Linked DNA regions of Caenorhabditis elegans. The protein of the gene in region 2 interacts with the protein of the main gene of each other region in a pairwise test. Each region holds a gene or a part of one and is shown on either strand. Other genes may lie near its edges. The genes, in order: nhr-239, nhr-66, hlh-33 and zip-2.

The links.
Region 1: the proteins of nhr-66 (region 2) and nhr-239 interact in a two-hybrid assay, tested with the Caenorhabditis elegans proteins (one large-scale study listed by BioGRID).
Region 3: the proteins of nhr-66 (region 2) and hlh-33 interact in a two-hybrid assay, tested with the Caenorhabditis elegans proteins (one large-scale study listed by BioGRID).
Region 4: the proteins of nhr-66 (region 2) and zip-2 interact in a two-hybrid assay, tested with the Caenorhabditis elegans proteins (one large-scale study listed by BioGRID).

Annotation. Positions count from the first base shown.
Region 1 is NC_003281.10:2,560,113-2,567,112, reverse strand, and holds nhr-239 (Nuclear receptor domain-containing protein), read right to left. Parts: upstream 5,404-7,000; coding exon 5,400-5,403; intron 4,901-5,399; coding exon 4,760-4,900; intron 4,713-4,759; coding exon 4,617-4,712; intron 4,195-4,616; exon of another isoform or gene 4,064-4,194; coding exon of another isoform or gene 3,293-4,063; intron 3,245-3,292; coding exon of another isoform or gene 3,155-3,244; exon of another isoform or gene 3,130-3,154; intron 1,759-3,129; coding exon 1,681-1,758; intron 1,130-1,680; coding exon 966-1,129; intron 920-965; coding exon 838-919; intron 781-837; coding exon 557-780; 3' UTR 518-556; downstream 1-517. Other genes in the region: Y54F10AM.11 (BTB domain-containing protein), read left to right, coding at 3,155-3,244, 3,293-4,063; feh-1 (Protein Fe65 homolog), read right to left, coding at 6,709-6,789.
Region 2 is NC_003282.8:8,233,581-8,238,372, reverse strand, and holds the start of nhr-66 (Nuclear hormone receptor family member nhr-66), read left to right. Parts: upstream 1-1,790; 5' UTR 1,791-1,795; coding exon 1,796-1,864; intron 1,865-2,169; coding exon 2,170-2,338; intron 2,339-2,463; coding exon 2,464-2,548; intron 2,549-3,358; exon of another isoform or gene 3,359-4,792. UniProt on the Caenorhabditis elegans protein: Transcription factor. Binds to regulatory elements and regulates transcription of target genes, including the potassium channel accessory subunit mps-2. Negatively regulates transcription of mps-2, thereby modulating age-dependent memory decline.
Region 3 is NC_003281.10:1,853,772-1,860,146, reverse strand, and holds hlh-33 (BHLH domain-containing protein), read right to left. Parts: upstream 4,756-6,375; 5' UTR 4,755-4,755; coding exon 4,505-4,754; intron 4,097-4,504; coding exon 3,966-4,096; intron 2,721-3,965; coding exon 2,568-2,720; intron 1,896-2,567; coding exon 1,707-1,895; intron 1,578-1,706; coding exon 1,375-1,577; intron 1,016-1,374; coding exon 880-1,015; intron 740-879; coding exon 578-739; 3' UTR 544-577; downstream 1-543. Other genes in the region: ddp-1 (Mitochondrial import inner membrane translocase subunit Tim8), read right to left, coding at 81-254.
Region 4 is NC_003281.10:832,549-836,322, forward strand, and holds zip-2 (Transcription factor zip-2), read left to right. Parts: upstream 1-1,539; 5' UTR 1,540-1,626; intron 1,627-1,756; 5' UTR 1,757-1,911; coding exon 1,912-1,920; intron 1,921-1,972; coding exon 1,973-2,288; intron 2,289-2,344; coding exon 2,345-2,665; intron 2,666-2,779; coding exon 2,780-3,060; 3' UTR 3,061-3,263; downstream 3,264-3,774. Other genes in the region: dos-3 (Delta and OSM-11-like), read right to left, coding at 3,267-3,678. UniProt on the Caenorhabditis elegans protein: Transcription factor that binds to the promoter and the enhancer regions of target genes. May act together with the bZIP transcription factor, cebp-2. Involved in responding to mitochondrial damage.

The DNA.
Region 1 (7,000 bases), on a different chromosome or scaffold from region 2:
GCAAATTGCCGAAAATGAAAATTTCCGGCAAATCGGCAAATTGCCATGAATCGAAAATTTCCGGCAAATCGGCCAACCTGCAAATTGCCGGAATTGAAAACTTCCGGCAAACCGGTAAATTGCTGAAATTGAAAATTTCAGACAAATCGGCAAACCGGCAAATTGCCGGAATTGAAAATTTCCGGCAAATCGACAAATTGCCGGAATTAAGATTTCTCGCAAATCGGCAAACCGGCAAATTGCCGAACTTTAAATTTCCGGCAAATCGGCAAATTGCCGGAATTGAAAATTTCCGACAAACATTCCAACCGACAACTTGTCTGAATTGAAAATTTCAGACAAATCGGCAAACCGGCAAATTGCCGGAACTGAAAATTTCCGGCAAACCGGCACATCGGCAAATTGCCGGAAATGAAAATTTCCGGCAAATTGGCAAATTGCAGAAATTGAAAATTTCCGGCAAACCGGTAAATTGCCGGAATTAAGTTTTCCGGCAAATCGGCAAATTGCAAACCGGTAAATTCATTAAAACATTTATTCATCCATCAATTGAAAATCAAAACAATTCAACATTATCTGATTCAAAGACTTCAGTAATAAGACTGCTCATGGAGCTTCGGAGCAAACTTGACATCTCCCATGGTCCGTTTTCATAGAGCCACGTAACTGTATTGATTAGTTGTGTAGCTGTCTCGATAGAGTCATTTGTGAAGGAGTACCGCCATAGACAACATTTATAAAAGTTTTCCAAAGGTGCAGCGAATTTCAGAAGGGGACTGGCTGGAAAATTAATATCTAGCTAGATCTAGCATAAATAAAAGGGGATCTGAAACTTACTGGATTGGGAGAGAAGTATGCAGATAGTCAGCCGTAGTTGTTCTGGGTCACAATGCACTTTTTGCGGGATAGGTTTTGGCGGCTTAAATGGGTTACGGTAATATTCGCTGTGAGACCCAAAAACTTACTGGAAACCTGCTTAGTACTGCCTCATCTCCACTGGCCAATATCAATAGGGCAAATATGATTTGGCAGTTTTCTTCAACAACTTCTCGACGTTCCTGTTGGGACATGAAGTTTAGCAATAAGCATTTTGATGTAAGGATTACGGATTTCGAGAATATCGAGTCATCTGGAAATGGAAAAAAAAACCTGAGAATAAGAGAAGAAATCTACAACTTATCCACCAACTTTAGCAATTTTAGAAATGCCAAGCGTAGAAGTTGCTAAATTTGATTGAAAAAAGTTGGATAAAGTTGTCCAAAGTATTACGTGAACACTAAATTCAGAGAATGCGTATTGCACAACATATTTGACGCGCAAAATATCTCGTAGCGAAAACTACAGTATCTCTTTTAATTACTTTCGAAATGAATTTATTTTCCAAAAGTGACAGCGATATTCCATTTTTCTTCGATTTTTCGTATTATTTTGTTCATTTTTTTGCTTACTATTAATTTTTAATATTTTATCGATCAAAAATGATTTTCGTAAATCGACACAAGCTTTACAGTAGTCATTTAAAGAGTTACTGTAGTTTTCGCTATGAGATATTTTGCGCGTCAAATATGTTGCACAATACGCATTCTCAGAATTTTGTAATAGTCAAACTTAGAAGAAAGAAGGCTATGCAAGGCTAAGTTGGTGTATAAGTTTTGATGAATTACCCGAGTATAGACTTACATTTGAAAGAGATGGGGTTATTGGTATGTTTCAGCTGCAGGCATCGAAGCCTCCGAGGTCCTCGTTCAGTTTGGACAGCTGAATTGAACTTGATATATCAGTTAAGCAAAAAGAAAACACTATTTAAAAACGTAAATTGACAACACATTCTGTTCAATTTTTAAATTAATATTACCCAGGGGCGTTGGTGCGAAGAGTCTCAATTCTGTAGATATATGTAAGGTTCTTTTCATTACAGCTTCGTACACTCAAAATAATAAAACTGCGTGGCGTGTACTGCAGAAAACCTCATATTTAGGCCCCGCCTTTTTCTCGTCCACTCACGGAGAAAAGGCAAAAATTTGGGGACCAACCAATATCAGGCCGCCGACATCCTACGGGTTCCGCGCGCCGCTTTGTTTAACTCGCAGCGGGCGTCGATTTGACCTACGTAGGTCAAACGAAAATTGCGCAGAATACGCAAACACCGGCGGGAATTGCGCTTCATTGCACTTCCAGAATTTTCTTCTTTTTTTCCATTTTCTTTGATTTGTCATCAATTCTCTCCGTTTTTTGCCCATTTTTCTCCGATTTTTGGCCATTTTTTTTCAATGTAAAACTCGATTTTTCTTCATTTTTTGCCGATTTTCTGCCTATTTTTCTTGGATTTTCAAAGTAAAACTCGATTTTTCAGCACCGCCAGCAGTTCTAACGAGACAATGGCTGGAATGGACTTCTCGATGCCAAAGGAGCTCGTGTTCGACGCAATCGTGGTGGTGGAGGAGCGGAAGTTCCACGTGGGGAAGCAGGTTTGTGAAAACTTTGTTTAACTCGCAGCGGGCGGAGACAGCACCACGCCCACAGCGAGTTAAACATAGCGGCGCGCGGAACCCGTAGGATGTCGGCGGCCTGATATTGGTTGGTCCCCAAATTTTTGCCTTTTCTCCGTGAGTGGACGAGAAAAAGGCGGGGCCTAAATATGAGGTTTTCTGCAGTACACGCCACGCAGTTTTATTATTTTGAGTGTATACATTAACCAAAAAATCGATAAATTTACGGAAAAAAAATTCTCCGATTTTCTCAATTTTTTTTTTGCAAATTTATTGATTTTTCTGGAAATCAATTGGTTTTCCAGTAATTTTTCGATTTTTCTAAAAATTTATCGGTTTCCCGAAATTTATCGGGTTTTCCGGTGGTGTCAGAGTGCCCCTTTTCGATTTGACCTACGTAGGTCAAACGAAAATTGCGCAGAATACGCAAACACCGGCGGGAATTGCGCTTCATTGCACTTCCAGAATTTTCTTCTTTTTTTCCATTTTCTTTGATTTGTCATCAATTCTCTCCGTTTTTTGCCCATTTTTCTCCGATTTTTGGCCATTTTTTTTCAATGTAAAACTCGATTTTTCTTCATTTTTTGCCGATTTTCTGCCTATTTTTCTTGGATTTTCAAAGTAAAACTCGATTTTTCAGCACCGCCAGCAGTTCTAACGAGACAATGGCTGGAATGGACTTCTCGATGCCAAAGGAGCTCGTGTTCGACGCAATCGTGGTGGTGGAGGAGCGGAAGTTCCACGTGGGGAAGCAGGTTTGTGAAAACTACTAAAATTTTTGTGTAATAATTCACTATTTTCAGTATCTCGCCACACATTCGCGGGTCTTCCAGTCTCTGTTCGCCACCCCGGGAGATCCAGAGATCACAATTCAGGACGTCTCTTCCGAGGATTTCCTCAAATTCCTCGAATTCATGTACCACAACACGGATCAAATCACAGCACAGAATGTGGAGTCGCTTCTGACGGTTTCTGCACGGTTTGGCGTGGATTTTGTGATGGCTCGCTGCGAAAATTGGCTCTCACTCGATGAGTCAATGGATTTCTCGCTTCGTCTCCAGCTCGCCGAGACGTACAAATTCTGGAATCTCTTTGACAAACTTCTGGAGACGTTGCAAAGCGAAGCCGACTGTCAGCAAGTGATGAAAATGCGATTCCCACCGAAGTTGGCCAGTCATTCGATGATGGCGTTGTGTCGCCGAGCTGCTGCTCTCGCCAAGGAAGCTGCAAAGCCAGAAGGAGCCGGAGCACAAATCACCGAGGAGGAGCTCGACCGGACTATGAAGATGCTCGCTCCAGCAGAAGATGACCATTCTCAGATGGAGCTCACAGTTCCCGACGACAACGCTTCCGGAAGCTCTGGAACTCTCGGAGATTCTGAGGACACTGGTGCTGAGCTCGTGGAGCCGGAACTCTCAAGGATCCTTCAGAGGACGTTCGTGGTGCCGAGAAGATCGCGGAAGCTGTCTGTGCCAGAGCCGGAGGAGTACGAGGAGGACGGCTTCTCGGAAACTCTGGAGCTGTTCCAGGAGGAGGCACGCAGCTGCCACGACGATACAATCACGCTGGAGTGATGGATAAGAAGATAATTTTCATGTCAAATAATTTCGCCATATTTTTTATTAGTATATTTAAATTTTCATCGTGTACATATTAGACTATTTCAAGTTATTTTTGTGAATTCATAAATCGGGTCGCAACTTGATATTATTTTTGACTCGGAAATGTTTGAAACTCTAGGAAAGGGAGAGAGAGAGAGAAGAGAGACTTGAGCCAAAGCCTAATCCTACGCTTGAGCCAAAGACTGAGCCGAAGCCTAATCCTACGCCTAAGACTAATTCAAAGCCTAATCATAAGCCTGAGCCTAAGCATAACCTTATGCCCAAGCCAAGTCCTAAACCTAAGCCAGAGACTGAGCCTAAGCCTAAGCCCACGAATAAGCCTAGTACTATTCCTGATTCAAAGTCTAATCCTACTCCTAGGCCTACACCTAAGCCTAAGCCTAGGCCTCAGTCTAAGACTAAGCCTAAGACTAAGCCCAAGTCTAAGCCTAGGCCCATGTCTAATCCTAAGCCTATGCCTGGGCCCACACCTAGGCCTACACCTAGGCCTGAGCCTATTACTCACCGAGTCTATTCATCTTCAACCTTGTGCATTTTGCAAGCCGACACGCCGGGCACCAATTCCTTCGGCCTTTATCCACGACGCACTTCCAATTTCCCGCTGAAATATAATTTCAGATAATATAAATTTCCGGCCTGAAAGCTAACCAATACAAGTATAGATAATATTCTTGCGTACACTTCTCTTGAAAAAGCAACTGCATCCATCACATGCCCATACTCCATAGTGTCTACCGTAAGACTTGTCTCCACAAATCTCACAGTTCACGGCTGCCGTGTCTTTTCGGCCTGAAAACGATATTTGATCTACAGAAATTGCGCCAATTTGAGCGCGCGCTGTGAAATTCGTGTGACCTCACATTTTCGGAAAATTTTTGGCAATTGCCGTTTTTCCGGCAATTTTCCGATTTGCTGGAAATTTTCAATTCCGGCAATTTGTCGATTTGCCATTTTTCCGGCAAATTCGGCAAATCAATTTGCCGGTTTGCCGATTTGCCGGAAATTTTAATTTCCGGCAATTTGCCGATTTGCCATTAATTTTCAATTCCGGCAATTTGCCGATTTGCCGGTTTGCCGGAAAAAATCGTTTGCCGCTTGCGGAAATTCCATTAATGTTTTTGTGAAAGAAACAAATTCAAACTGTAGTTAACGAGTTTTTCGTAAAAAACTAAAAAATTCGAAGAACTGCTGCAAACGCGCCCCAACGAACTATTGGCCTACGTAGCGCGGCCAATTTTTATTCAAATTTTGCAGAATAATTACAAAAACCGAGAAAATTCTCACTTACCCATCGAAAAATTAGCAAAATCACCGGAAACCGAAAAATAAAAGGCATATCTCCGTATTGCAGCTCGCCAATTTATACCACCTGAGAATCACTAATTGGAAAGGTATTCGGTGTCAGATGGTAGTAGTAGTACTAGTTGAAATATGAGAATAGTCCCCCACCTTTCCCAAAATCACAAGGTTAGAAGAAGCTTACTTCATCATAAGTCGGGGCGCATTAATTATTTATTGAATTTTTGAGCAACCGACACTCTGATCGAATAGATTTTCTATGGAAAATCGGAAAGAATTTGCTATTTTGAAGCTGAAATTGGCTGGGGCAAAAAAGGGCAAAAACAGGCAAAAAATTATGAAAAAAATTTAGAAAAAAAATTTGCAAAAAGAAATTCAAATTAATTTTTTTAAAATTTTCTATTGAAAACTTTAAATATCTCACTGAACAACTATTAGTTTGCTTACCAGCCTGTCTACCTACCTACCTAAATGCCTATCTGCCTGCATGCCTACATACATATCGGCGTTCCTACCTACCTATCAGTATGACCCCTGCCTGCCAGCCTGGTTACCTACCTACATACCTATCGGCCTACCTGCCTACCTTAATACCTATCTGCCTGCATGCCTGTGTACCAGCTTGGTTACCTACCTACATACCTATCGGCCATCCTACCTACCTAAATGCCTATAGGCGTTCCTGCCCACCTAAACACCTATCTGCCTGTATGCCTGCCTACCAGCCTGGCTGCCTATCTACATACCTACCGGCCTACCTACCTAACTGAATACCTGTCTTCTGCCTTCATGCCTGTCTACCAATTTGGCTACCTACCTACATACCTATCGGCCTTCCTATCTGCATGCCTGCATACCAGCCTGGTTACCTACCTACATACCTATTGGTGTACCTACATACCTACATGGCTATCCGCCTGCCTACCTGCTCACTTACCTGCCTGCCTGCCTGCCTAGCTTCCTGCCAAACAATTTTCGCGACCTATCGATGCACCATGTTCATTCCACCAAACTTGTTATAAAACTCCATTTTTATCAGAAAAACCTTTTTTCAAAGAAATCAAATTCTACAAAACAAAAAAAAATTGTCACAGATGTTGAAAAAGCTACACAGAAAGAGGGATTGTACAAGTAAAAATGTATCGGTGGATTGAAGAATATTGCCAAGTGAGGGGCCGGGGTAAACTTTTGGTTTGAAAGCATATTTGGGATGAGCAGAACAGAGTATGAGAGAAAAAAATATGAGAAAAATCCATCAAAAATACAGAAAATTAAAGAACCGAAGAAAAATGAAGAATTCAAAGTCGTTGTGCCGACCTAGAAGGTACCATACGTGACGTCACCGAACCAAAAGCGTCGCGAAATGTTTCAGTCCATCCCTGTAATTATTTCAAGTTAGGTTTTAAGGATTTTAAGGCTTTCAGCAGATTATTAAGAGTTAATTGGATTTTTTGGTAGTATGTGCACATTAATTTCGGCTCACAACAAAAGTTATGGTGCATCGATCAAAAAAAATTTTTTTTTCGAATTTAAAATTTTGTTCAATATCCTACAGTAAACTACAGTACCCCTACAGTACCCATACAGTTC
Region 2 (4,792 bases):
AAGGCTTGGACCAAAGATAACTACTTCCTATGTTTTAAATTGAAACCAATAATCAAAATGAAGGCGATAATTGATTTTTTATTTTTATTTTCCGGATTTCGAGCGAGACTCAACTCTCAAACTCAAACTCGCGTCATTAAGATAAACGAGCATCTACACTTTTGGTTGCAAAAACTGCAAAAAAATTTTTTTTTAAACTATTTCCCAATTGATAATGCTTTCAAGTACATTTAAATGAACGTCTTCAAATATCAGCAAGCAAATTACAGTAACATTTCAATTCATGTTTATTTAGTTATACCAGAAAAAGTGCACCTGCCATTTACGCACTGTTTTATGGATTGAATCCATGACTTCTAGGCAGGTAGGCATGAAGTCCGAAATCTTGCTGCTGACTTGAATGAATCCCTAAACGAAAGCTGTCAAATACTTGAAAGAACACATTTGTATTCTTTTTTAATGTGCTTCTCGGAAAATTTTGATTTTTAAATGTTTTCTGCTACACTACGAAAATTTTCATAATATTCGCTAAATTTGCACGTGTTCAGTGAGCCTAACAACGCGACATGTCTACAAATATCTAGACACGAATGTATTTCTAACATTTGAATTTTTCAACTTCTTATGAGAGAAAGTCTTATGAGAAAAATCAAACGATGAACAGCTGAAGCATAACAGAAAATAAAAACATTTTTTCATTTCGACTATAGTTATAATTATTTACCCACAATGCCTGATTTCTCGAATTTTCATATTTTTTGTTCTTCTCTAAAATCTCTAACAATAGCCAAAATGTAGTCTGTTTTAAAGTTATTATGCGAGAAGCTGTGCACATATCCCATCTCGAGCCCCTTTTGTATGCACACTGCTGAGCATCAGAACGGACGGTATGCTGCACATCCCTCGTGACTGCGTATAATATCCACCCGATTTTTGTGTGATTAGCTGCAGAATATCGTATATCGAGGCGCGTTTTCCATTTGTGGCGATAATGCACATTTTTACTGTTGAATTCTCTTTTGAGGCTCCATAAACCACAAATAATGCGACGATCGTGTATTACAAATGTTCGACAACTGTGATTTCTCTGATTTCATCTTACTGTAGAAATAATTTCAAACTTCGCGCACAAATGGATTTCACCAGAGCGCACTTGCTGTATTCTTCGGTAGCAAATTTTTTCCAGCGAAAAGCATTTCGAAAAGCCTGTAAGCTTTCGTGAAATGAGATAATTTTTCGTGAAAAACGTTTCTACAATTTTTATCAATTTATTTATTTCAACATCTTCAAAAACATGTTACGTTCTTAAAAAAATACCTTTTAAAATTTACTATTAGCGAAAAATTGCTGAAAATTTTTGTTTTCTAAGATTATTTTTGTCCCGATGGTGTCGTCGTCACAACATCTCATACATATATACAGATAAAGAATAAAAGCGAATCCATTAGATTGGCGCATTTGATTTCTCGTTCAATCCGTCCTTTTTCTGCTGATCTTTCACGTGTCTCCTGCCGGCGGCCCCGCCCATTTTCTCATACTTTCAATTTTCAAGGTCCTTTTGTCAGTTCAGTATTCTAATTTTCCTCGTTCCTCGATGGCCTTCCGGTTACCTTGCTCTTGTTACAAAGCTCTCGCGAGCAAACTTCAGCCCGCCTCTTTTTTGAGAACTCGACTTGTGCTCGCCTGCTCTCTGTTGAGCTCAATTTATTCATTATTCTGATCGCAATTTTGTTTCGAATTAATAAAATTAGAAACGTCAACTATTTTCAGATTTCTTTCAGACATCTTCTATGGAATGCCGCCAATCAATGAGCCCACAGCGACGACAACATCAGCATCGTCGGTGTGGCAAGGAATGACACAGGTTTGCATAAAAATTGAATTTTATAAAGTTTAATATCAAATTTCCTATTAATATTAAATAGAATTCTATAAAATTTTATGCTTACAATAAAAAAATTGATTTTTTAAATTGTATCGTAGTCTCTGGCACAACGCAGGTAAATCGTTGCGAGACCAAGCCTTCCTTTGAACCATTTTCTTCAACAAATTGTTTCTTTTTTGTGGTTCCCTGCGCGCACAAATTGTATTTTTTTTAGTCGAAAAACTTGTTTCTTTGAAGAATTCATGAAATTTAATAATTAATTCAATAAAATATTTTATTTTCAGTTAAAATCTCAAGTCGACTTGATCAATATCGCTCGAGGAATTCTCTCAACCCCCGCAACAACATCAACATCATGTCTTGACATCCAGAATTCGACACCGATCATCGGTTCGTTGGCCTCCGGGAAATCCCAGACGCCAATTCTCACAGCGACAATGACTCCACAAATCGGTACGGTAGATTGTTATTGTCAATCAAGAAAAATGGGGGAGAAATGCGCGGGAGAAATTGAGTCGTAGTTCGCGTAAACAATTGTTGTTTTCTCTGAAATATTAATCAATCATGCTCGTTTTAAGGACTCACTGGGCTTGGTTCGTTGACATCGTTGCCTCCAGAACTTCTACTACAGTTCGCTAGACTGGACGGATTCAACTTATTACCGTGAGTTTTTTTTTCTTTTGAAAATTCAAAATTTTGCCGAAAATAGGCAGTTTTTTGTATGGAAAAAAAATTGCAATTGGAATTCAAAAAGAAATAATCAAAAAGTTGAACCTTCCGAATTAAATTTGAATTTTGATCTTTCATTATTATCTTCGCTCAAAGTCTTGTGCTTTGATCCATATCTTTCCTCCTGCTCTGTGACTTTGTACTTTTCATCTGTCTGATTTCTGCTTGACAACGCTGGAGTGTCTGATAAATCTAATCAAGCTGAGCAGCGCTATTTTCTTAAAAAATGTGATGTTACATACAGAAGAGACATAGAGTACATTGCTAATTCATAAGTTTAGAATAAAGAAACTCAAAATCAAAGAACAAAGTCAAATAATCCTTCATAATTTTAGTTGGTTGCCCTTGTCATTGGGAGCAGACTTCTCATATATATATATAAATGTGCATGCGCGACAACGGAAATGCAAGTAAAAGAGCATTGAAACAAAGATCCGTTGTATGTTGCATGACACATGAGTAGTGGAGAGTGTGGGAGAAAGGTGCAGAGTACAGCTGACTGGCATGCTCCTGTCGTTGAAATGTGTAGAAATGAAGGGATTTCTGTGCTGCAACGTTCCAGAGATACTTGTTGTAAGAAAGCTTCATTGTAATCATCTTTTCTCGACTAGACTGAAGTTTATATGTGCACCTGAAGCAGCTCTATTTTACAATTTGCAACTCACTTTTCTATGATTTCTAAATTAGTCGATGTGATTTTTCAATTATAAGATCAACGGGAACAAGTGGTGCAACATTATATTCAAGTTTTAACGGATTTATATAGCAACTTAATCAAGCTATTATATAAAAAGTCGAACACCAAATTGTTAGGTCTTCCGTCCATCGTTTAAAGCCCGAAGTCCTTCATCCATCCCCAATTGTCCGTTCCGCCTGACCATCGAAACAGCTTTGCAGCGCTCAATGACAGCAGATGCGCTTCAAAACAAACCGATAATAGGAGGAAAATTGAAGGGGTCAGAAATAACCCGCCTTGGTAGATCGGCTCCGTTTATAATTCCTTCCAAGCTAGCCGGCTCTCCGTTATTACTTCTTTGCCTCTTCCGTATATCCGAAACAGGTGGAAACTCTCGTCTCATTACCAACTCGTCGACTTTCTCTTTACTAAAGCTTTCCTCCTCTGACCCATCTTGTGCTTAACTGCATAATTTGAAATTCCCAGACTGCATGAGAACTTTTGCGTTGATGAGTCTCGTCTCTTTTTCTGCAAGGAAAAAAACCACAGAGAACCACACACAACGAGAAAGTTCAAAGGCTCAATGTATCATTTTACGTATTTCTCCTTTCTTTTCTTTCGCTAGCGCACACTTCAACATCCAAAAGCGCCACGTGTTTGTGTTTCGGGAAAACAGAAAACTGTGTGCTATAGCAAACTCAATACCCCATCACCGGAAACTTTCCGGTTTATCATCGCTTTTTGCGGTTTTTCTTTCGTGCGCCTGCCTGCTTGCAAAATACCACAAACTCATGTGTTATCGGTGTTGGCCTACAACATTTTCTATCATCATTTCGATGTTTATATAAAGATTTTTTCAAAAAGAAATGCATAGATCAGGATCGTGTTGATTCCAAAATGGAACTAGCAGGCTTTTGTCGTACTTTAGAACCTGGCTTATTGCCAAAATATTTCTATTCAAGTTGACAGCCGTTTGCTTTCGATTATTGTTCCGATGATCCCCATTTCGCCCTATTAAATGTTCAACATCTATTTGACAAACTCTAAAGACTACAAACTACGGGCATCTAGAATAAAGACGTTATCACTTGTTCTATTGTCCAGAAACTGTCATGTGAATATCTTATAAATCTCGTTGATCTTCAGTGGAAAAGCTGAATGAGACTAGTGTGTTAGAATATTGAAGTGATCTACATTAGATTGTTAAAATCTGCTGAAAGCCTACAATTACACATTTCAAAGCAGTTGAAATTAATTTCGCCAGTTTTATTTTGAATGGTGTTCATCGTGTAATCATTCGGATCGTTAGATCAAAACGATCAATTTCAGCGAATAGTCATGATAAAATGGTGACTTAGAGTTATCAGTTTGTGTTTATACTATAAACAACCGTTTGTGCATACGCAAAAATCGACTTTCGACTGTTTTAACTTCTTGTACAAAGATCGGGTTCACGAGGTGGCCAACCGTTTGTATTTTTTCGTAGAAATGACCTACAAACT
Region 3 (6,375 bases), on a different chromosome or scaffold from region 2:
AAAAAATTGGATTTTTTAAATTTTTTCTTCAATTTTCCCATAAAATTGCAGAAAATTGCCAAATTTTCCCAAATTTTTACCTGAATACAGGTCTGAGTCTTGCCGTCCATCTTGCTTGGCGGACGGTAGTCGGCGAAGCACACATCCCAGCAGCGACCGGTGAGCGTGTGCACTTGTTCGGTGAATTTTTGACGCTGCGTCTCCGCCTGCAGTTGCTGGAGGAATCGATTGAGTTGAGGGTCGGCCGAGTCCATTTCCTGTGAGAAAAACTATAGATTTGATGGGAATTTTGAAAAAAATTGCAAAAAAATCGCTGAAAAATGATGAAAACCCAACGAAAATGATGAAAAAATAAAATAAATTAATTTCATCGCAGAGTGCGCAAGCAACAAGAGAAATGCGCCAGCAACCTCTCCTTGCGCATTCACAGTTTTCGGCGGTTTTTCAAATGATAATTAACTTCGAAATGATTTTTCCGGAAATTTCCCAGTATATTTTGCAGTATTTTAAACAAATTCCCGTCGATAATAATCAAATTTTGTAAATAAATATTTATTTTATTCATTTAAACCCATAACTATTGATTTTGAGCACCAAGTGGCCCTTGCGGGAGCATATATTGGGGGAAATTCAAAAACGGGGGGTTTTGAACGAATTGCATCAGGTTTTTCAGCTCCCCTTCTTTCGCTGAAATTCGTTTTTCCAGCAGAAGTCGCTCACTTTGTAGTCGGAGCCAAATCTGGAAAATTGATAGTAGCTGTAGTTGAAAAGTCGATAATTTGAATTAAAACCGTGTTGCAAGTGCGCTCTATTGATAAAAACTAGTTTTTAGCGATGATTTATTGATTTTACCATTAAAAATCGATAATTTTCACATACATCTTGATAACCAGGTGATAACATGTCAAATGGGTTCATTCCAAGTGTCGGAATCGGTTGAATTAGTGACGTGGACGGATGGATTACTGTAGTTGGGCTCAAAGTGCTTCTCGGAGTTGGAATAGTGCTAGTTTGGCTGAAAATTTACATAGTTTTGCAAGTTTTTTCAGAAAAATTAGAAAATTTTTTTTTTTTGAAAAAATCAATAAAATCTTACATGTTAAGAATTTTATTAACATTTTTAACTTTCGCACGCTTAGAGCTTCGGAAAAACTCCGAAATTATGTCACTGACACAGCTGAAACCAGTGCTACAGTACCCCACGTGACGGGACCCAACTTTTGAATAAATTTGTGAAAATTTGAACCCGGGCATGATGGGGGTCATTTGAAAGGTCTTGTTGAGCTAAATTTGAAATTTTCAGTTTTAAGGGTCTCGCATGGATTTTGGAGTAGATTACTGTAGGTTTTAACGTTTTTTTTTGTTAGAAAAAACCTCTTTTTCCCAATTTTCGCCGATTTTTGTGAATTTCCATCCGACTTCTCATCATCCAACGGATAACTTTCCACTATAACATTCATCGATCGTAGTCTCTTCCGTTTTGTGGGTACTGTAGGTCGGCGGGTTACTGTAGGTTTCACATTGGGTACTGTAGACGAGGTGGAGGAGCCCGGCGAGAGGAAGGAGCTTGGGGAGCTCTGGAATTCAACAAATAGTGTTAAATAATTTTTTAGAAAAAAAAGTTCCGAAAAAAAAAATTTCAATTTTTTTTTTCTCAAAAAGTTTGAAATTTCCCGCCAAACTATTAATTCTTATTAATAACTTACCACTTTCACACAATTATCCTCTTTTCGCCTCAAAAGTGCCGCCAAAATCGGGCTTTTCACCTCCAAACTCGACGGCGGGGGCGGTGTCTTCTGAAGGGGCGAAGCTAAAATGGGCGGAGCCTTGGGTACAGTAACCGGGAGAGCTGGAAGCTCATCAGGCACACAGACTAAAACTGTTTCCGTGGGTTTCTGGAAAAATTTTGATTTTTAAAAATTTCTAGGAATTTTTGAAATTTTGGAAAAAAAAATTTTTTCAATTTTTTAACAACTAATTTTTTTGGTTAAAATCACGATTTTGAGCCAAAACTCGTACATTTTCAAATTAAGCACGTCCAGAGCTTCAAAATAAGGCCCATCATGCCTATATTCCGTGAATGATTAAAATTTCGGGTCCCGCCGCGAAAACTTTCTGGGTTACTGTAGTTTGGTTGTTTTTACTGGTTTTACCAGGTTTTGCAGGTTTTCTGGGTTGCTGAGAGTAAAATTGTGATTCTCAGCTAAAAAAAAATTGACAAAATAAGTTTTTTTTGGTAAAAAATTTTGTTTAAAAAAATTTTTTTTCACAAATTTTCGAAAATCTGTAACTTTCTTAGTTTTCACTATTTTTTCTTAATTTTTTTCTTCAAAGTTAGCTCAGTGATCACACTTTTTTGAAAAAAATTGAAAAAGTTAGTTTCATTCAAAACTACAGTAACCCTGCCAGTTTTCGTGGCGGGACCCGGAAAATTCCCCCAAAATTGCGGGAACCTAGGCATGATGGGTGTCATTCAAAAGCTATTTACACGCCAAATTCAAATAAATTAGTTTTAAAGCTAAATTTTTCGAATTGTTCGAATTGAAAAAAACATTTTAATCCCAAACCTCCGCCGATTCCTTTATTCTGCACGTCATTGACTTCGCCATGAAGCTTTTGAGTTGGAGCTCATTGAGCATTTCTTTGGAAGTGAGAAATGACAGTTTGGACGTTGAATCGTAGTCCAGAAAACATCGGATATCTTTTCCAATCATACGTTTCTGAAAAAAAAAATTTCATTAAAAAATTTTTTTTTCTTTTTTAAATATCTCAAAAACTAAAACAGCTATTAAAAAGTTGTTAACTAAAAAAGTGTGTAGAATTTCAAAATGAACATTTTGTTAGTTGAAAACTTTTTGATAACCATGAAATGGGCGGAGTTACGGAAGGCAGCAGCTACGCCCATTTAATGGTTACTAAAAAGTTATCAACTAGCGAAAAATTCAAATCTTTTGCAAAAATTTTGACAAAAATTGTTAGTTTACAACTTATTTCTAGAATTTCTAACTTTAAAAAAATTTAGTTTAACAAAAAAAAAAAAATTTTTCAGAAAAAGTCCAAAAAAAAAAATTTTTTTTGAAACTTTTTTCGAAAACTTTCTAAATTTTTATACTATCTAAAATGTTATAAAACATTTTCCAACCGAAAAAATCCCAATGATTCACCAAATCCCCCCCCCCCCACCCCCGGTCCACCACCAGTTCACCTTGAAACAAGTCAGCTGACACACAGTCCGAAAAAATCGAATTTTTTTTGGGAAAAAGTGACCTTGATAATATTTCCCCGAAAATATGACGACATTTTGTTTACAAGGAACATTTAATTGGGGACGCCTGTATGGGAAAAAATTTGGAAAATTAAAAATTATAAAAAGATGAAATCCCACAAAAAAAATTTTGGGATTTTTTTTTTTCAAAAAAATAAACTCAAATATCTTCAAATCTAGAAAAGCTAGAAAAAAATTGTCAACTGAAAAAATTTGCAGATTTTTTTTCATGGTGAAGCTTTTGTCGGTTGAAAATTTTTTGATAGCCAATAAATGGGCGGAGTTACTGAAGCTTAAAGGTTGCTACCATTTAAGGGTTAGCAAAAAGTTGTCAACTAAAAAAGTGTGCATTTGATTGTCACGCCCGTCTGGGACAAAATTTGGAAAATTTTACAAAATTAAATTCCAAAAAAAATGTTTTGAGAATTTTTTTTCCCATTTTTTCTAATAAGCCTATGCCTAAGCCCAAGCCTAAGCCTAGGCCTAATCCTAAACCTAAGCCTAAGCCTACGCTTAAGCCTAAGCCTAAGCCTAAGCCTGAGCCTAAGCCTAATCCCAAAAAAATGTTTGAAGCCTAAGCCTAAGCCTACGCCTAAGCCTACACCTAAGCCTAACAATTATTTTCAGAGGCCTGTAACTCTGCCCATTTAATGGCTTTTTGAATTTTTTTTTAAATCGAAAAAAAATCAATAAAACAAACTTTTTCAATATCAAAAACTGCCTGATGGTCTCCCTTAATATCCACGACAATAAAATTGTTCAGAAAAACCATAAAACAGTTGGTCAGGCTGAAAATATCCTGGACGAGCGGGTCGGAGAGCAGCGGTGGTTCTGGAAAATGGAGGAAATTGAAATTGACTGAAAATTCCGAAAATTTCGAGATTTTCAGCTTAATGGCTTTCAAATTTGAGTTTAGCTCAATGATTGCTTTAAAATGACACCCAACATGCCTTGGTTTGAAGGTAATTTGAAATTTTGGGTCCCGCCACGAAACGGATCAGGGTTACTGTAATAGGTTGAATTTATATTTTTCTCGGGAGGAAATAGAGTTGTTTTACCGAGTTTTAGAGTAAAAAACAAAGAAAAAAGCTTTGAAAATCGAAAATTTAGGAAAAAAATTTGCAAAAAAAAAAGAAAAAATTTTCGAAATTTTTTTTCAAATTTTTTTCCAAATTTTTTCAAAATTAAAAAAAAATTCCAAATTAGAATATTATTACTAATTTGAATCTGTAGACTCACTATAATCACTATTCCGAATAATATCAACAGTACTCCCAATGATAAAGCATTTGTCCAGCTGACGAGGCTTCTGATCCACTCTTCGCAGCTTATGAGCCCGAATATCTTCGGGCAAAAGTGTCGACATTTCACAAATCACTTCATTCATCTCTTCCCTTCGTCGTTTTTCATGCTTACTTCGTGTTTCTCGCTTTTGAATAGTTTCTTTCCGAGTTCGCGGCTTTTTGCAGCTCTGCGGGGAGTCGGACATTCTGAAAAATGTACTATTAAATTTTAAAAGCTTATATCTCGGTTAATATTAAAGGTAGGGAGAAATGTTAAACAACAAAGTTATAGAGAAAAACATGATGAACATTTTGTCAGTTTACAACCTTTGGCTCAATATTAACCGAGTTATGGGCTGTCAAAGTTAGGAAAGGTCGATGCAACATGTCTAACTCTAACTTTGACGGCTAGTATCTCTGTTAATTTTGGAGATATGGAAAAGTGCTCAACTACAAAGTTATAGAGAAGTTCATAATGAACATTTTATTAGTTATCGATTTTTTGATAAAAACAATGACAACTGAGATATAAGCTGTCCAAGTTTTTGATCGATGCACCATGTCCAGTTCAACCTTTGAAAGCATATATCTGTTGAGGATATCAATAAATTTATATTAATAAAAGTATATACATAACCAAATTGTAATAAAAATTAAATTTTCTGATGAAAAGACATTTTTTTGAACTTTTTAAATTTTTTTCAAGGATTAAAAAAAAATTTCAAAAAAGTTTAAAAAAAAATTTTGGTGAAAATTCAAATTTTCTAACTTGACAAATATGTACTTTTCATTGTTTTTTTAAAAAAATTTTATTGTAAAAAATGTGTTATTGCCCTAAAGTTTCAGAAAACCCATTTAAATTTTAAATTTTTGAAAAATTTACTGAAAAATGAAATTTCTTCGGTAAAACTGTAGTATCTCAAAGAATAATTGTGCAAATTGCTTGACATTTTGTCAGAATTAGCGTTAAATATATTTTTATTTTTCTTTCAGAAAATATCAAATTTTTGATTTAAACTTTTGGAAAATGCAAAAAAAAAAAATTTAAAAATTAAAAAAAAAAATTTTCAACATTTTTATTTTCTCAATTAAAACCTAAATTTCTCAAAAACTACCAAATGAATTTTGGTGAAATTTTACCAAAATTTGCGTTAAAACTTTATCTTTCAGGCAATTTACTTTAAAATTTGACAGTTCATTTGAGTCCAAAGTTATAAGACCTCAAAGTAAGCCTACGTACAAAAATTATTTACCGAGTTGTATAAAACTTTTGTCAAAAAAAAAAATTTAGAAAAAATCGGAAAAGTGATCAGATGGCAAAAATGAATGGTCTCCGCCGTCTTCATCGCCCCCAACACTCGAAATTGCCGCATTTCTGCGTCTCTTTGATTGTGTGTACTCTCTCGTGTGCCTCGGAATAAGTTGTGTGTGTGGGGGCAGCTGGTTAGGGGAGCGTTTTTTGTATGGCAGAAAGGGACTTTCAAGGTCACTTTCTTCATTTTTCTCCCTCTACGGCTTTCATTTCTGGTTACCCCGGCGGGGAAAACAATATTTTGTAAAAAAAAAATTTTTTTTTTGGAAAATTTTTTTCCGAAAAATCAATTTTTTTTTTGGAAAACCAACTTCAAAAACGAAATCCTCGCATAATTTCCCACTATTCACATTTTTTGCCGAGTCTCTAGCTCAACTTTTGATTTTCTCTGAGTACGGTAGCGCCAAAAGTACGCAAACACCGCCGCAGCTCCTACGACAAAATGCACAGCTTCTCAGGATTTGGTAGCTGAGCTTTGGAAATTGGGTTTCCGGAGTGAAAAGAGACGTAGAATT
Region 4 (3,774 bases), on a different chromosome or scaffold from region 2:
TTTTGGTTTTCATTTTCATATTTTGCTCTGACTACAAATTTACGTCTTTGTTTTTCTGGTTTTTCCGGTTGCTTGGCAACAATTGCAATCGCTTATTTGTGTTCAATAACATAAAGTCATACAAACGGAAATCGAAGAAAAATTAATGAAGAAATGTAAAATTGAATATTTATTTTTTATAATTGAATCAACCAGGAGCTTTGTCGAATGTTGATTAATTTTGGCAAGCAGCCTTTTGGATAAATGATTCATTAACTTTAAAATATAAACGAAAAAAACTGTTCCTACGTTGAGAGTACTCCGCTTTGAAAATTATGAAACTACAGTAGTTTGTGACTAGGTACATCTTGTGACATACTGTTGCACAACATTGCATCAAGAGTGGACTATATAAACTGAACTCATTTGAAGAAAATCTTTCACATTTTGTATTCTCAGTCTTCAAATGGATCATATGATTTTCTAACAAGTCGCCCTTTCGACGTCCTGTCAATGCAATGTGTGATCAAAAAGGTTAGTCAGAAATACATTTTATTGAACAGGGTAAACATTGGAAAAAAGCGAAGATTACTCAGAAAACTCCGCTTATCAATCTTCAATTCTTATCAAATGACGTTATGAAGAATTGAAGCAAAAGTCCAATGTGCGATTGTTTAAATGGAATGTATATGTTCTATGAAGTTGTTATTATACCTATGTGTTAAATTCAAATATCGAAAATAAGCAAATGTTAATAAATTTGCTCATAGAACGCACAAGTAATGAGTTCACACCATATCTTGTCTGTATATAAAAATTCACAATGTATTTGAATAAATTATGTCGTACTTGATAAGTAGTGACGTCGGTTGTGATATAAATGCTTGATTAATTTTTGTTTGAATCACAATAATAGTTATTTTTCATACATTTCTCTGGGACGGTACGGGAACAATTTTTTACATGTACTTCAGGTATTTTTGAGAAGCTAACAATTTTCCATATCTAATTGGAAATCAATCATCATCAATTGTGACCTCCTGCAATCCAGTTTTTGTTCAATTAGAGATGCTTCATGAATTTTGTCAATGTGAATCAGAATACTTTCATACTATTTATACTTTTGTACCGATGATCACCATCTGAGTAACCCAACGATGGGTCAGAATGTGTGTTTCAGTTCCTTGATCTTTTGGTTGTGGTCTGAATCAACACATATTCCTCTCCACACTTCGTTCACATTGTTGGTCGGCTGTGTCGGTCGGCGCACGCTCACTGTCCTATTCAAACACACTCTGCCATCCCTAATCCTCTTGCGACACACAGTGTCTTGTCGACCCCCGTCGTCTGTCTCCGACTGGGTGACATCATGTGAAATCTTGCCAAATGTTGTGCAATAGTGGGTGGAGCGTCCGCTCTAACGTGGTTTTTGGGTTTTCTCTGCCTCATTCTTTCGTTTTGACAAATTGTCCATTGGTGACTTTTTGTTTTTTTTTTCTATTTTGCTTACGGGAATCGATTGTTTTGACATGCTTTTGCCTAAACGGTGGTATTTTTCAGCAAGGGACCAGTTTCAAGGTCCCACGACCGCCACCGTCCGCGGAGCAATCAAAACGTCCATCAGTTCGCTTTCATCGCCTTCTCCAGGTTTGTCATATACAAATAATAATTACCTTTTTAAATCATTATCTTATGACGATGACGTGGCGATCACCAATATAAAAAATCAATACAATTCAAATTAAAACGAATAAAATCGATAATTAATATATTTCAGAAAAGTTTTCCCCACCTAGCTAGAAGCTAGCTCGTTTGTCACTAGATTTCGACGGCCTTCCCGAAGATTTCTTTTCTCCACAATGTATCACGCAAAGACAACCACCGATTTTAACATGTTCAGTCAACAGTGTTGCTTCATGGACGAGGCCAAGTATGGAGCCGGTTAGTTTTTCATAATTGGACGAATATTTTATTTTTACAAATAATTGTTCAGCTATCGGCTCCACTAGCCGTCGGGTTTTCGGCTTGGCCTCCGTCGCCGCCACTTCCGCCGTTGGCCCACTCACCGCTCCAGGATGCAGTCCACGCCGACCACAACCATCGTCGGATCCTCAACTCTTGCAGAAACCTGCCGGATTGCCTGACGACTACAGTTCCTCAGCTTCACCAGATCAATTCTGCCGAGCAATCTCCACTACAGTTCACGCATCAACCAAATTGCGATTTAATTGTGGTTCTCGACGAGCAAACGACCTACACGACTACAATGACACGACGTTCCCTACCGAAAGCGGACCGTTATTTGAGCGGTTAGTTGGCGAATTTGAGCGAATTTGAATCATAATTTGAATAATAAAATTTTCAGAGCCCAACATGAGCACGCCACAAGCTTCCCACGGGAGCTTTGAATTTGATGTACCAGAGTACACATCCTTCGACTATGCATTCGATTTCCCACCGGTTCCAGAAGCCTTCCCACCAGCCGCCAATAGTTCCTCGGCTGCATCTCCAGATGCAGATTTTCTTGATCTGGATTCTCTCATGAGCTGTGATATCACATCTCTTGACGCCTACATTCATGATGATTCCATTGCCTCTCCTTCTAACGCTTCACACATTTCTCCTCCAGCGTCGGACATTGATCCAGTTGACGAGTTCTTTCCACAGCTTGTGCACAATAATAAAAGTAAGCTTAAGACAGTATCACACTAATTAGGAAAATCCACGTCATCGTCTGAACCCATTTATATATTCTTTAACTCAGCTCTTTGTTCAATTTAAACATTAAAAACCATTTCAGTTCAATCATCTTCCTCCTCAACAGTTGAAACGACAATAACACGTGGGCGCAAAACTTCATCGGTATCGTCCGATTCGTCATCGGACTACCGTCATAAACGGGATAAGAACAATCTAGCATCCCAAAAATCTCGTCAAAAGCGCCAAGCCAAAATTCGCGAATCAAAGGAGGAAAGAGAGCGTCTAGAGAAGCGAAAAGTTCAACTTCAAGCAATGGTTTTAACCTTGGAGACTCAAGTCGAGGACTACAAGCGATTGGTCATGATGTTTGTAAAGCGATAAATATATTAATCAGATCGCGTTTTTTTCTCATTTTATTGTGTGTGTACATAAATTCAAATTTAATTTTATTTTGTTCTCGTTTTTTTCCTCATTACTTATCCCTTATCCCTTATTCACCAACCTCATTTTATCTCATCTCATCTCAATAGCAAATAGTATTTATATTCCTTTTCATTAATCAAAATAAAGTAGAAAAATAGAAATAATTAATCATAATCATCAGGAATATTAAGGAAAGTTCCAATAGAGGGAAAGTGAATAGCACTAAACCCATCAGTACCTCCAACTCCAGCAGCTGGCACGGCCCAATGTGCACCATAAGCGATTTGGCCCTGGAGCCAATCCACGTTCACGGATTCCGGGTGATAATAGTATTTGTTAGCATGATCGCGATTATGTGGGTCATCTGGATTCGGCTCCCAGAGCCCTGGTTTAGTGAATGGTGATCTACTACGAGGGCGATGCAGGATTCCTCGAGAGTCGGTTAAAGAGTTGTATTGATCTAATGCATTGGAGAACACACTGTCCGAAAATACTGGAACTGCTGCACCACCTGTAGTTTTTTTCACGCGTGGAAGATTGGGAGCTGATTGATCGGCATCTTTTAGAACTTGATCTCTGAAAGAAGATTTGCGACTTGGTTAGAAATAAATATAACATTTTCATTATTTCTTAAAGCAATTTATAGAGTCTAACCTGTGAGTTTAAGAACCT